Neodiprion lecontei: one gene and its partner. Each later gene encodes a partner of the first gene's protein in a complex. Links are inferred from orthologs where the notes say so. Each region holds a gene or a part of one and is shown on either strand. Other genes may lie near its edges. The genes, in order: E3 ubiquitin-protein ligase Hakai and N6-adenosine-methyltransferase non-catalytic subunit.

Region 1 (7,722 bases):
ATTATACACATGTAGAAAAGTAATGCACAAAAGAATTCAGTGTACAAATATTACCAGAAAAGGATTCTACATCTCATGTATATCTTATGTATCGTCTGGGAATGAAAGGGTAAATTTCTCTAACCAACTACTCCAGACTAGATAATTTCTCTAAAATATGAAATTCTGATCTCGTTGACAAAAAATTGATAAGGAAGGTTAAAAACGTACAGTTAGAATAGTTGCTACAATTGAATAAATCAGAAATGCTTTTCCATTGCGTACGGACTCTTCTAATAGCTCATTAGGATTTGTTTCATCCAATCTAATTTTGATACGTATGTATGTCCACCACAGCAAACCGGTACCACCTAATTTTGAGGAATATAATGATAAGTATTAGATAAAGATGTTTAACTATGCAATATAATTCGTTCGCTGTTTTCTTTAGCATTTGGAAAAATGATTCACACTGTTATTTCGCATAATAATATTAAATTGCAAACTTCATATCATAAGCAAACCATCAAGTATTTAGATTATTCTATGCTTGCATTCTATATATTTTTCGACATGTTAGAAAACTCACCGATACAGGATACTGTGACTAGGATCATTACTATCCAGCTCACGATGCTTGCCAATAAATGGAATATAGCGATCATGAACAAGGACAACACTGAAATAGAAGAAAACTTTTGTAAGAAGAATTTTTGTTAATTGAGAATTTTATATCGACCCTATGGATTATTTTGTAGTAAAAAAAGTAATTATTTACCAAAAGCAAGAAAAGATAAAGCAACAATTTCTCTCCAAGTTTTATATAAATCTCCTAAAATTTGTTCAATTGCATCCCATGAATTGATTAATCCATAAACGTTGGAAGCTATAGTCTCTGCAACTTTCCCTATAGCTCTTGGAATGCAGCGATTCAGTATGACAGTACTATTATAAACAGGAAGCACTGGGCACGCTCCGGTCTTATCTTTTGAATTCTGACTGGTGCATGCGCTGAATTTACTTCCTGGTCTATCATGACACAGCTGTGATCCTGTATCTTTATAGAACTGGCAAACCTGTTCCATTGTTTCCATGTTACGATCCGGGCATTCTTTAACACAGATTTTCAACGAGTCCTTCAAATTTGCCACATCCAAGAAGAACAAGTATCTATAATATCGATTTCATGTTATTATACATGTATTTCATTTTACCTCAATGACACTTCAAAAATATCACCTTTATTAAGCATTTTTTATATACCACATATCGTCTAACATAGTTACGTACGATTAGTTGTTTTATATTTATACTTGTGTGATGCGATTACATTTTTAATGAGTGAACATGTAATGGATTCCCATGATAAGATAACTGTGGCCAAATAGTACTTCAGTAGTAGGCAACTATTATGTGGTTGAGCAACATCCGCGGAAGCTCATTGCAAGGCATGGGAAACGGGTGCAAAAATTACTCGTGGGATTCCAAGAACAATACTATTTTAGCAGTGAAAGAGTCAGCAAGTGAGAATAACTAATGCAACAAACAATGATTCAATCTTTCTTTTTATTTTGTGTTAAATTTTTGAGAGGTGGCCAAAAAGAAGGATCAATCGTTAGTTAACAGTCTTTTAAAATTTAGCATCCGTACTCCTAACCCTTTACATCTCAATGCTGAAATTTTCCAAGGTTGAAGACAATTTTTTATAATTTACCCCATAAGTTTTCCTGTAGAACTGGCAATATTCAAATTAAACAATAGTTTTAGAACTTTCTTTTGTAATAATTAAAAAATATAGTACTCACGGTTTATCACTGGTGTCTTGCCCGGACAGTTCCATGTTCCCAAACTTCTTGTTGTTTTTTACACCACATGTATTGTCAAAGCTATCAAACCCATTTATCAAACGAATTGGATTACCATAAACCAATGCAAATGCAGCTATCAATATCTAGAAAAATTAAATACATATTGCATATAGTTTCGTATTAACTTTACTCTAATTTAATTTATAACCCTTAAGCAAATATGATTTTCCAAATAATTTAAACCGCAAGAAAAAGACATCTGTGATACAAGTAATACGTTAATTTTTTACTCTCAATTCAATTTTGTGTTGCGTTTTTTCATTAATGGATTATTTCCTACAGCTGAAATTTTCGTAGCATAAAATTTCTGTGTGATTCGACACACAAAAAGAAGTTATGGTGAATGCCGTTGTACAAGTAGAGTTCACTTGTAAATTTACGTAGAATAAGGCAATCACGAAGATGACATAAAATTAAAGGGGAGCACAATTTTGCAACTAGGCAATTAATACCTACTTTCAATGAAATACTCATTAAGGAGTAATGTTAATAAAATTGCAAATGGACCTGGATTACTCTTAAAATTTGAAGACGACATTTAGCCAGCATGAAAAATGTTTACAACATCGATTTACGTATTGTAATACTAAACAGAATTAATTTAATTAGCTTGTCAAACGTCTGATTAGATTCTGAGTCACGTGCTAATTACTCTTGTACAATGAGAAAAATGACTTACTCTCGGCAGGTTATACATACCATTAAAAACCAAAACAGAATAAAAAGACATAACCAGAAAATATCCGTACAGCCGCGGACCCGGGTAGGTTCAGGGCGTTCGTCTTCGTCGTCCCCACAACAGCAAGACATTTTTTCACAACCTCTGTATCGTGCACCAGAAAATTACAACGCCCATCCGGCTTTGACGCCTCTTGACTTTAATCCCGAGCTCGCCTTCGGCTAGTAAACTAACTGCCAGCTAGTGGCAGCCGCTTGCCTTTGTTGTTGACGAATGAAGATCGTCACTCCGCCCGGACGCGTTCCTGAACTATTCTTGTTATATCACTTGTTGTGTGTGTTATATCGAATCACATTCCATTTGCGCGTTATATCGTTGCCGTGGCAACGAAAACAAATCGCATCCGGCGGGATCAGTGAAGTCGTTCGCACTTCGCCGACTGGCTGTGTTGGTGTTCAATCATTGTCAGTTTCATTTCGAACTCGTGTGCGTACGGAGTGTAGCATACGCGAGGTTGGTTAAGCGACATGAACGTAACATGATGTTATAAAATATTTTCTGTTACAAAATCCAACCTTTGTAAACATTTCGTCCAGTATTTTAAGGTCTGTTTTTAAAAAATATTGTATTAGACGGATTGTGGATGATAGGATTCGCTTTGAACTTCATTTCACATCGTACTGTCTCACTTATGTCTTCCATTTCGAACCTAACCTAACACATGTAAGCAGGTTATCACTAGTTGATGTTCAGAATTATGGGCAACCGAACTGATAGTGCATTGATACTTCATTCGTGTTGTTTTAGTTATGGAGGAAGATGGTGCCAAAAGAATGAGGGGCAGAGCACGAGGGAGAGCCCGTGGCCGTCCTAGGGGACGAGCTAGGGGCCGTGGGAAAAAAGCTGTCAAGGTGTTTATTATGAATAAAAGATGACTGAAAAAACTGGTATACGCATAATCACCTTCATTATAACTCATAATCCCCAGATTATAGAAAGTGATGAAGATGATGTGCCACAAGCGGCTGAAGAAACTCCTATGGAAACAAGCGGGGTGGAACCTGAACAACAGGAGCCTCAACAAGCTCAGCAACCACCAATCGAGCAACAATTTGATCTGGAAGCTGATATATCACAGCTAGAAGCTCCGACCTTTACAACTATAAACCGAGGACCTCCCGAACCAATGTTACGTCTTCGTTGGGACCATAGAGTAAATCTTATTGGAGAAAAGGTCTTAAATCCGATGATTCATTGCTGCGACAAGTGTCTTAAACCGATCCTTATTTACGGACGTATGGTAAGGGTTTGATTATGAGCGAATTTGACAGTATTTTTTTTTACTCATTTAAGGAAGTGATGGGTATCCTTATAATAATCAGACCAAAATTTGACTCATTCGTTTGTTGTCTCATTTGGATTAGATACCTTGCAAGCATGTGTTTTGCTTGTCCTGTGCTAAAAGAGAGGATAAAGTCTGCCCAAGGTGTATGGAAAAGGTTTCCAGAGTAGAGCAGACTGGGCTTGGTACAGTGTTTATGTGTACTCATGGTGGAACTAGGTACGGAAATGCCGGATGTAGAAGAACCTACCTAAGTCAAAGAGATTTACAGGTTTGTTTGTTTACAGTGATGCGAAGGCAGGACTCAAAATGTTCTTTTCCAAATATTTAAGAAATACCAAGTAGGATATATATTTTCTTTCTCAGGCTCACATCAATCATCGACATATATCAGCTCCTTCTGCGCCGGTTCAAGGATTGCAAGTTGACCAGCAGTACTTGCATTCTAAACCAGAAATGGATACACAAATGACAAAAATTCCACCAGTTTCAATGCAAACTAGTAGAATGAAACAGGTTCAATCTCACATGGTTCAGCCAATAATGGGAAATGATCCAAGAGTTAATTCTATGGTGAATCAACAGCAGGTTGAACATCGGCAACAGCAACACAGACCGCAGCCTATTATCCCTATGCAAAACTATCAACAAAGCTCTGCCCCACCTCCTACCAATACGCCGATGAGGACGAACCTAATAACTGTACCCATCCAAGATACCACTATAACTACACATGACATGCATAATCAGCAAAATCATCATTATTATCAACCTCCTCCTCCTCCGCCGCAAGTGAATTACGGAGGCTACAACGTACCTCCTCCTGTTTCACAAACGCAACAGTACTATCCTCAGCCGCAGCATCCGTCGCAAGTCACCTACGCCCCACCACCTTCGCAGCAGCAGTATGGTCCTTCAAGTTCGACTGCAATAAGACCACCTGCAACCTCATACATGCAAGAACAACAGTACGGTCCTCCACCTCCGCAGCAACAGGCACCTCCGCCGCAACCTCAGTGGACCCAACATCAACAGCAGTTTTATAGATAGGAATTGAGTCTTTTTTCTTTTCTGCTCATGTACGGCACATAGTCAAAATTACCGCGACAAGGTTTACCGTTTAGAAAAAATATGTGTTAATAAAGTTTGAGTGACCTACCGCTATCCACTGTTCAATCTTATAGATGCATTTTTCCTTTGCTTTGCGAATGTGTGTACTTGTATTAATATCAAAAAATGACGTTTCTATATACGTACATTACTTCTAGTATATCAAAATCGAGTACACTATAGATTGACTACGTTTACACTTTCATATTTTTACAAGTATTTTAATAGGCTACTAGTGAAAAAACTATCTGTATAAGAATTGGTTGTATTCTATTTTTAAATGTTATTTAAGAGCACCTGTACAGAATGGCGCAGTTTTTTTGATAGTTTGTTTTCAGGTAAATTACGATATTTTTGTTTTAATTATATTGGGAGCTGAATATGTTTTTTAGTCAAATCGAACAAAAACTCCTGCACTACATACACATTCTCTTATAGTTCGAGTTTATATTGAGTAATCTCTAGCCTAAGAGTAATAATTTGTACCTACTTTGCAAAAAAGTAAAGAAATTGTAATCAGAGAGATATAATATTGTACAGAATGACAGGATGCAATGTATTTACAAAATCAATTATATTTAACATTTAAATATATTATATAATATTACTTAAGTTTCTCATCATTTTACCTAGCGAATGTTCATTTATTCATGTAGTGTTACCCCAGCCATATACTTTGCAACGCATTGAATTGTATTCTCACTCAGCCTCCACACGAATCTTTGTTGATTCCAAACATAAAAATTCTTTAGAAGTACATTCCAGCGCTGCATAAGTATCAGGTCAAGATACTTCATTTTAAAACTTTAATAGTTTCTGAAGAACTCATTTATACTATGCATAAAAATAGTTTTTCAATTTGAATCCATCACAAAATTATTTCGTGTTATATATAACATGTCCGGGTTTCTTGCACCTTGATCCCATCGTATTTATTTTCACGTGCTTATGCTTTGGTTTTATCTAAATCATTCTCTTGGACACATAAGCTGGACATAACAGTGCACTTCAGAGTCCGAACGAATCAGGTCACCCGTTTTCCTACATACAGGCAAGTCACAGAACTACAACTTGTAGAATTCAAAAGTTGTCTCTTGTGCAGCGATAGCTTGTGTAAGAACTCCCAACAAAAGTTCTTGTATTATTATACACACGTATAACTTATTACATGATAATTCTTTTGCAGGAAGACAGATATAATCTTTAAAAGGCTGAAAAGAAAAGTGATGAAATGAATCATTTGGGTTTCATAATTATTATCCTCGATTGATGTAAAAGAATAGGCTGATCTCAATGTATTTGTCCATCCTCACTTACTATGAGTTACGGTAACCAGATGCATTTCTGTGTTACTGTGCATTGAAACGATCTTGTACTGATAATTGGAGTGTGAGGTTACTGAAATGCTTGAAGTGCAATTCTAACTGTAAGAGAATTGAGAGACTATATAACACGGTTGAAGTATAATTTTCTGTCAAACAGTCCGTTAAAACTTACAGCAACATTTTATAATAAAGCCACGTTAATCGCAAAATCGATCGTTTTCTCATATGAACTTTGTAATAGAAGAGCAGCGATACTACAAAGTATAGCAGGAACGTTAAACTTTCTAAGCTTGTGTTTTCCAACTCGTATTAGAACACGCTTTTGATTTTAATGTAGATCTTCGAAATTCATCGACATCTACAATAATAAGAGTTTAAGTTTTCAATGGAAGTCCAGACATGAAAAATTCTCTGACATTATTAAGGTTTTCATCAGGTTTGATTAATTTCTTTGTAAATTCTGTGATTTTCGAATTATTGTGACAAGTAGAGGTCACGCTATATTTTGACTGTGCAATTATTCAGTTTACGAGATTCAATCTTCTCAATGGGATTTTAGGATACACATAAAAAGAATAACTTTGACTACAAACTTTTCACTTTGTATACCAAATCTTGCGCATATGAGATCATTTTGCAAAACCTTTGCCAATTTTTACAATATTATTGAAATCAGTCAATTCTGGATGATCACGTGCTTGTGGACGGGTGATTGTGTATGTTTACACTGGTCTGAGGGATTAGCGGAGACGCCAGTGGCTTTGGTGTCGTTGATTCGGGTATTGGGATTGATACAGCTGGCGGAACAGGTGAATGCTTCTTACTTCTATCTGGTTGCCAAGGTTTGGCGTGATCCTTACTTAACCTCTCACTAAGAGCTTTTAATGCTATTTGTCTGAAAACAAACATAGAAACAATAAATGTTGAGAGTAACATTTCTAACGTATAATTTCTAACTAATTCATATTTATGTACAATTTCGAATTTTTAATAAAATTTTATAGTATAGTTTGGTTTAAAGAAATGCATGACAAGGCAATGTCAACTTAGTACTATTAATTCAAGTGTCTTTTTTTCTAATACATACCTACGTCTTTCGCTATCGTGAGGATCGATTCCTGGTAAGCTAATTACCAAGCCTGGAGGTGCATTGGACATGTCAAATCTGCGAACAACTTTTTTGCAGACACCAAATCGGACTAGAAATCCATGTACTGTATTTCCGACAACTGCTATGGGTGGCTGTAATACATTGGGAAAGAAACTGAAAGAAAATTGCGATTGTAGTTGTTATAAGATTTGATATTATGTATCTACGTAATATTTTCAAGGTGGTATTAGAGAGCAGTTATGTTTCAATAGCATTCCATTTGCCAAACATAAATGAAAGTGTATTCCAGAATAGAAATAGCTTATTAT
Region 2 (7,381 bases), on another chromosome or scaffold:
ATTTGCCTTTTATTTTCAATGACTTACGAGCGCTCTAGACAATTTTCAATAGAGCTACGACAAATCACTGGTCATTACCGTTATGTTTACACATATAACGCTGGGAAACCATTGGAAATCACTTAACGGTAAACCATGACAATAAACGGATGGTACAGTATCATAAAGACGGAAATCAGTAAAATTTTAATGAATGGAAACAGTTTGACGTCTACCCCGAGACTTACTGTATACATCGATTTCCAATGTTACCCCTCGTTTCCAATTATTTCTGAGCTTTCTGGACGATTTTTAGCGATTTGCGCATTGAATCAGTTCAAATGGAATCACAAGAAATTACCGAAAATCACCTAGTCGTTGGGAGCTCATTGGAAATCAATGAAACTTAAGGAAAGCACATTTATGAGATAAAAATCAGCAAGTATAAGAATGTTATTGAAATGAAACCGCTTCGCCTTCATCGCAAGACTTGCATCGATTTCCATATGATTTCCAACGCTTGCTTTTCGTTTCTTCAGCGCTATCCGCATGTGATTCCACACCAGGAGTCGCAATGATGTTCAATGACTTTGAGTCAATTTTTACGCCTCTCTATGTGAAAGGATATTTCAGTTATGTGACAGCGGTGAGAAGCAAGGTGATTCATTTCTCACCTTTGATCAACGATACGACGTTTAACAATTCAATACACTCGTTATCTATCAACCGATATACAACCTACCGCGCGGCGTAACAACACTTTTTACGTTTCCGGTTTCCGGCCGGCCACCCGAATTATATTCGTAGGCACAAAAGAACCTGGAAATATTTCTCAATTTTTCGTACACGAATTACGAAAAATATCTTTATACCGTTTAAGGAAATTGCCGGTGAAGCGAAATTCAATACCTCTGTAATAGTTGACTTGATTACAAGATAGTCAAACATTGAGAATTCACCAAATTTCTATATATTTGTAGGATATAGTGATGTTCGTTAAGCAATTCAAGAAAAACAAATTGTCGTTAGACATCAATTGTTCATTTCAAATCAGATTAGGTTAGTTAAACATCTAATAGCTTCGTTTGATTTCGCTCCACGTCTGGGCTTATTTTCGTAGAAAAACTTATACATTTCACAGATTCACTGAAACGCTTCTTGTTTTGTCAAAAGTAAATTCAATGTTGTTCGTTGTTTTTTTTTTTTGTCCATCAAAACCAGTATCAATGCAATCTTATGAAATTGAATATCGACCTATACCAACATGACAAGTCAAAGTGTCTCAAGCACGTTCGTGGAATTGTAGAGAAGGGTCATTTCAACACAAAATAAGCCATCGTGGAATGAAATCGAACGAAGCCGTCAGATTTCTTCTTCGCAGTAACGTTACTAACTTCATGCTCATGAGTAATTACGCTTTCGGTACCAGGATGGTGTTCCAGTCGGTATTTACCTCTTCTACCATATACCTTGTGAATTATTCTTATACTACACAAGGAAGAATTCGGGTTGGAATGAGTAACCGGGTCTTTTAAATAAAAACACGGCAGTTGCGCTGGCAAACTAGCAACGGACAACAACTTGCCGAGGCATAAAAACCCTCACGGAGTAGAGGGGAAAAGCCCGAGCAAGCCAATGAAAGATAGTGAACTTGTTCAACAAATCAAGTAAAATCCAAGTACGTGAAATGACGCACAAACCACTGCAAGCCGGAGGCTTAATTTCCAACTTATGTTAAGATGTCACAATGAGAATGATCATTCGCTTAGCTAAAACAATTAAGAGAGCTCTCTTACCTACAGGATGGGACAGCCCTCGGGATGTCGTAGCAATGTACGTCAATTGGAGAGGAATGTAAACGTCTTGGAACAAGTCGCGGCAGGTGCGCGTCGGAATAACCGGGACCTCCACGAAACCAGTTAACAGAATTTGCAAATTCACAACACTAGAATGACAACACTGAGAAATCACCAGACTTGATATCTCTCCGTTCGCAAGAACCGTCCACTCCGATATCTTTATACCGTCTGGCCTGAGTCGAATGCTTTCCAAGTCCTGACCGTAGGCCACCCTTCTCCACACCGGTGCAAGGGAAGGCAACTCAGGCCTTTTCCGGAAGGTCCCAAATCCAGACGCTTTCTGTCTGGGTTCCGTTACTTTCAAATAATTTTACAATTGTCCTTATTGTCCAAATTGACACCGTCTGGGAATGTAAGGACTAAGCTTTATTAGACCCGTCGCGGTCAGTTTCAGACCCCTGCGGCCTTCTCCAAACCTGCCGATCGAACCATGGGGACCTCCATGCCACCATATCGAGCGCGCGAATATGCGATTATAAGACTCATAAGTAAGAAACGCAAGTGAAATGAAATGGACGAATGCAATAAAGCTAATTAAGAGGCGAAATCCCTTTGCTCTACACTTTACAACGTGGAAGCGCACTAGGCGCGACGACCTTGAGCGTGCGGGCGTTCGGTAGCGGTGAATTTTAAGGAGAAAATATCGAATGATTCAATTTCAGATGACAAGCAGTATACGTTATATACATAAATATCAAAAAATTGCGATTTATTTTAAAATTTATGGGAATATATAAGAAACTTCGCAGTCATTACATTTATACCACTAATTTAGACAGTCAAAGTATAAGGACGAACAGTATAAACTAAATCCACTTCGAAAATGATATTTCCGCAATTATGGAAATAACAGTTTGAAATGCATACATACATACTTATATCGCACATCACATTACTGTTTATGACAGTCATCTTCCGCCCTGAAAGAAATACTAGAGGACGCCAATTATAATGCACTTACAATTAACTACTTTTCCTGCAACCATGCTTATTATAAAAGAGCGGCTTACCGTTTTTGAAGAGGTACGACATAGCCGCGCAGCATTTCGTCCCATAAAACGTATTCATTCATTTTACATCACATGTGTCGAGGTCCGACGAATTAATAAGCGCCCGTCACAACAAGACTTGATGTTATTTTTTCACTCTACTCGCCTAAACACATAATGAATTTGCGACTAGCGCTTTATTTATTATTACACTCGCGAGTTTGAATTGCACCGGAAGTAATTGCATTCTCACGATTCACCGCGGCGTTTGATAAATTACGCAATTCATTCGGAGGTCGACAGTTCCGAATGTAAAGAGCAGACGAAGGAGCGAACTACGGACAACGGATCGCTGCACCCCGCATCAAACTATATATGAAACTGAATTTACTGAACCCCCCGATGCAGTTCTGAGATCCAATATATGTCATGCATTCTTGGAAATTAATCTAGTTCCGCTCTCCGGTAGGCTCCGCCACTTGGCAGCACAACAGATTGCTTGTCAGCTTACGTATGGGTGTATTTTCGGCCACCTGCTACATGTCGACAATTTCGTGCCTCTGTTCAGTTTTACTTTAGACAATATTTAAAATAACAAGGAGTTTATAATGTTGCAGACACTTCGAGAGCGCTCTAAAAAGCGAAAGAAATTATTGGCTCAAACGGTGAGGACACACTTCTCGCTGATCAGTCAGTCTAAAATCGTGTTTCTGATTTTGAGGTTATGTCTGATGTAAACACGTTATAATTTGTAATATTTATGTTATTTTCAGCTTGGGGTTTCGAGCGTGGATGAGCTTAGACAAGTTTTGGGTACAGACATCAATGATGCACAAAGGAAACGTGAAAAAATGTCATCTGTCAAGTCGGATGACGACCTTAGAGAACAGAAGGATGACACAGTGTCAACCAACGAAATAGTCTATAAAGATTCTTCTACGTTTCTTAAAGTATGCAACCTCTTAATACTATCAGTTTTTTTTCCAGTGTTAGTAATTGAATAATGTTTAAACAAAAAAAAAAAAAAAGCAACCCTCTTTGTGTACTTTTAGGAAAACGCTCAGAAATTTGTAGTAAACTATATTTCACCCACTCTTGCATAACTTTTGTATTAGGTGTAAAATCAGTTGTAACTTGGATTCACATTCATACCAAATGATACCCTTTTCTTCAATCAGGGAACACAATCCTCAAATCCCCACAATGACTACTGCCAACACTTTATCGACACTGGACAACGCCCTCAGAATTTTATACGAGATGTAGGATTGGCGGATCGATTTGAAGAATATCCAAAGTTGCGAGAGCTTATTAAACTTAAGGATGACCTAATTTCAGACACTGCAACTCCCCCCATGTACCTGAAAACCGATCTCCTTGCTTACAATCTGAAAGAACTAAATTGTAAATTTGACGTTATTCTCATTGAGCCACCTCTTGAAGAATATCAAAGGACATGTGGAGCCACAAATGTACAACTTTGGAATTGGGATCAGGTTAGGCATGGTCGGTAATGAATTTTTAGTAAACCTGGTCAACGCACCTTTAACTAAGAGTCATAATAATTTTTTTCCAGATCATGGAGCTCGACATAGGCGAAGTAGCGGCAAGTCGTAGTTTTGTATTCCTCTGGTGTGGTAGTAGCGATGGATTAGACATGGGTAGATTTTGTTTGAGAAAGTGGGGCTTCAGAAGATGTGAAGACATTTGTTGGATACGTACGAATATAAATAATCCTGGACACAGTAAAAATTTAGATACTAAAGCAGTTTTGCAGAGAACAAAAGAGCATTGCTTAATGGGAATTAAAGGGACTGTACGAAGATCTACAGATGGTGATTTTATTCATGCAAACGTAGATATTGATCTGATTATATCTGAGGAACCTGAGTACGGATCTATCGAGAAACCTGTTGAAATTTTCCACATTATTGAACATTTCTGCCTAGGCAGAAGACGGTAAGTACCATGCAATTTCCAAAGATCTTCGTTAAACCCAAATCTCACTTCTTGTTGCTAGCAAATGAGATTATTATATCTTCCCTACTATTTCTTTAACAGATTGCATTTATTTGGGCGTGACAGTACGATCAGGCCAGGCTGGCTTACAGTGGGACCAGAATTGACTAATACGAATTTTAACACTGATCTGTACACTAGCTATTTTGCAACTAGCCAGATCACAACTGGATGTACCGAAAGAATAGAAGCACTCAGACCCAAATCTCCACCACCGAAAGGAAAAGTCTCTGGCAGAGGGAGGGGTGGTTTCAATCGAGGTCGGGGGAGAGGCAGATAATCTGTAATTCCTAATAGATTACAAGTTTTTAACGATTATCGACTTGAACGCACAAAAATATCTCATGCCGAATACAAAAGAACAATTTTTTATCAATTAACCTATTTATGACAACATGCTACATCAACTGATAGTGATGCTGCTCAATAGTATTCTTTCTTGTTAGTTGTTTACAAATGCATACTGTACGTTTCTGAATCAATAAAGTGAATTTGAACCTCTCATATTGGATAATTGTTTTTTTTTTGTTCTTTAGTAAGTAGGTATAATTGCATTACACAACCAAATTCTGTTTAACAGGGTTTGAAATATCTAAAAATGTGTATCAAGTTAACGGTATTAATCATCGTGAATTCAATATCCGGCTGTTGCAATAGCTGTACTTTGCTCTGTCTGCTTGGACTCAGCAAAACACTGTCGTTACTTCATGTTCTTAAGAATTTGTCATTGTCATCGACTGGTCATAATACTAATAAAATGACTGGAGAAAATGCATGGTTAAAAGCCTACATCTTTTACCATTCCAAAATTGCTGTATTGATTACGAACTAAAAAGAATAAAGTATTTTCTTGAAATCATAAGTCTGAAAATTATTGATCAAATTCGTTTATTTAAATGCGGAGTTAAAAATTAAAATATAAAATTCTCTCATGTTAGATCATAAATATAACGCTAGAGATGCAAGACGCCAATAGAAACATAAGGATGAACACAGAAGAATAAAATAGATTCCAATGACGTAAACCACCGATAGCTCGATGCTGAACAAAAACTCATCTCCAAGTTATGTTTACGAGATATAACCGGCAAACATATGTATAAATATGCTTTTCCTAATACTTCCACCGGTATCGTGCACCTTCACACTAAACTTGTATGTTATTCAAGTATGTTCTGCAAATGTGCATCGACTGCTCTCTACACCATTGCAGGAACATTACCACTAATGTGTTAATCTACGAAGGGAAAATGAATAAGTTATTTTCTGAACACAGAAAAAAATTATATTATGTGTCTAACAGCGTTTAAACACATATGATAGTCTGGATGGTATTGCACCTTCCTAGAATTATCTATGTGTAGCTGTGTTGGCAATACAGCCAATATTGGCCTCGAATATTCTGCTTACACAGAAATAATTTATAGATTAAGAAAAACAAACTACATATTTGTATTCCTTCGGGAAAGAAGAAATTTTTATTTTTTAGTCTATGTGAGATCAAGTCAACTTGTTTGTACTCTATAGGTTGAATTGAACAATACGGTAATATGAAAATAGGTAATTCATAATAAGTATAAATACTTGATTCACAGCTCTCATCTGTTATTAATATGGATTTACAAACGAGTACTTTGGGAAGAATCTGACAATATGTATCACGAATTACTTTCAATGCAATAGAGATGATCGGTATTTTGAGACTATGTATCTTGATTCTGTCAAAGTTCTGAACTCCTGCAATTCGTCTGATAAATTCCACTAATGAGTAAATTCACAATAACACATAATTCATCAGTATTTAACGTAGCTAAATTACATTGAGACAATTTTTTAAACAAATCGAGTGCAACAAATTATTATCATAGATCGAATTAATTATTAATGTTATAACTGAGTTCAGGTATTTTCTATTCGATGAGGTAACGTTTTCATGTTTCAGTAAAATTACAGAACAATTCTGCGAACCAAACCTCGATAATTTGTTGTAACATAGTTGTGAAGTAAGGCAAAACTTATCCCAAGTGGCATTCGTTCGCGTAAACAATTTCAGCAACATTTTGGCTTACTTCATCAGTGAGTAAAAAGTATATTAAACACTACATATACTAGATTTAATTATTAATCTATCGGTTGACACAATAAAAGAGACGTCATTATTTAAAAAAAAATGAAAAATTATGTAATCAAATATCAATTCGAAGCACACTGTTTCACGTATCATATTATGAAAAAGCAGCGCAATTGTGCATATTTCACTGCAGGTATATTTTATAAAATGGTCCATTCTACTAACAAAACGTGAAGGATTCATAGAAAAACCTGCGCAAAAATCAAGATTGGTATAAAAATATACGACGAGTTTATATAACTATGCTGTACAGTGTATAATAGAATTCTAAGAGATGTCTTCAAAAAGATACAATTGTAACTTAGCTTACTTTAACTTAAATTAATTGTATATGCTAATTGAATTTTTCTAAATACACACAATTGCGCAATTGCAGCTTGAATGAAAGAAATTTATAACTCGAT

Evidence for each region.
Region 2: E3 ubiquitin-protein ligase Hakai (region 1) and N6-adenosine-methyltransferase non-catalytic subunit share a complex: the UniProt entries of both Homo sapiens proteins name them as parts of the WMM complex. The link is inferred for Neodiprion lecontei from reciprocal best matches to the Homo sapiens genes CBLL1 and METTL14.

The regions. Positions count from the first base shown.
Region 1 is NC_060263.1:32,455,960-32,463,681, forward strand, and holds E3 ubiquitin-protein ligase Hakai, read left to right. Parts: upstream 1-2,995; 5' UTR 2,996-3,131; exon of another isoform or gene 3,132-3,249; intron 3,250-3,333; 5' UTR 3,334-3,335; coding exon 3,336-3,437; intron 3,438-3,514; coding exon 3,515-3,826; intron 3,827-3,950; coding exon 3,951-4,139; intron 4,140-4,234; coding exon 4,235-4,918; 3' UTR 4,919-5,585; downstream 5,586-7,722. Other genes in the region: choline transporter-like 1, read right to left, coding at 211-350, 569-658, 758-1,149, 1,785-1,930, 2,547-2,657; transmembrane protein 115, read right to left, coding at 6,994-7,198, 7,391-7,567. UniProt on the Homo sapiens protein: E3 ubiquitin-protein ligase that mediates ubiquitination of several tyrosine-phosphorylated Src substrates, including CDH1, CTTN and DOK1. Targets CDH1 for endocytosis and degradation.
Region 2 is NC_060260.1:28,913,019-28,920,399, reverse strand, and holds N6-adenosine-methyltransferase non-catalytic subunit, read left to right. Parts: upstream 1-3,295; 5' UTR 3,296-3,435; coding exon 3,436-3,492; intron 3,493-3,600; coding exon 3,601-3,777; intron 3,778-4,005; coding exon 4,006-4,323; intron 4,324-4,403; coding exon 4,404-4,786; intron 4,787-4,888; coding exon 4,889-5,126; 3' UTR 5,127-5,350; downstream 5,351-7,381. Other genes in the region: protein bicaudal C, read right to left, coding at 2,849-2,893. UniProt on the Homo sapiens protein: The METTL3-METTL14 heterodimer forms a N6-methyltransferase complex that methylates adenosine residues at the N(6) position of some mRNAs and regulates the circadian clock, differentiation of embryonic stem cells and cortical neurogenesis.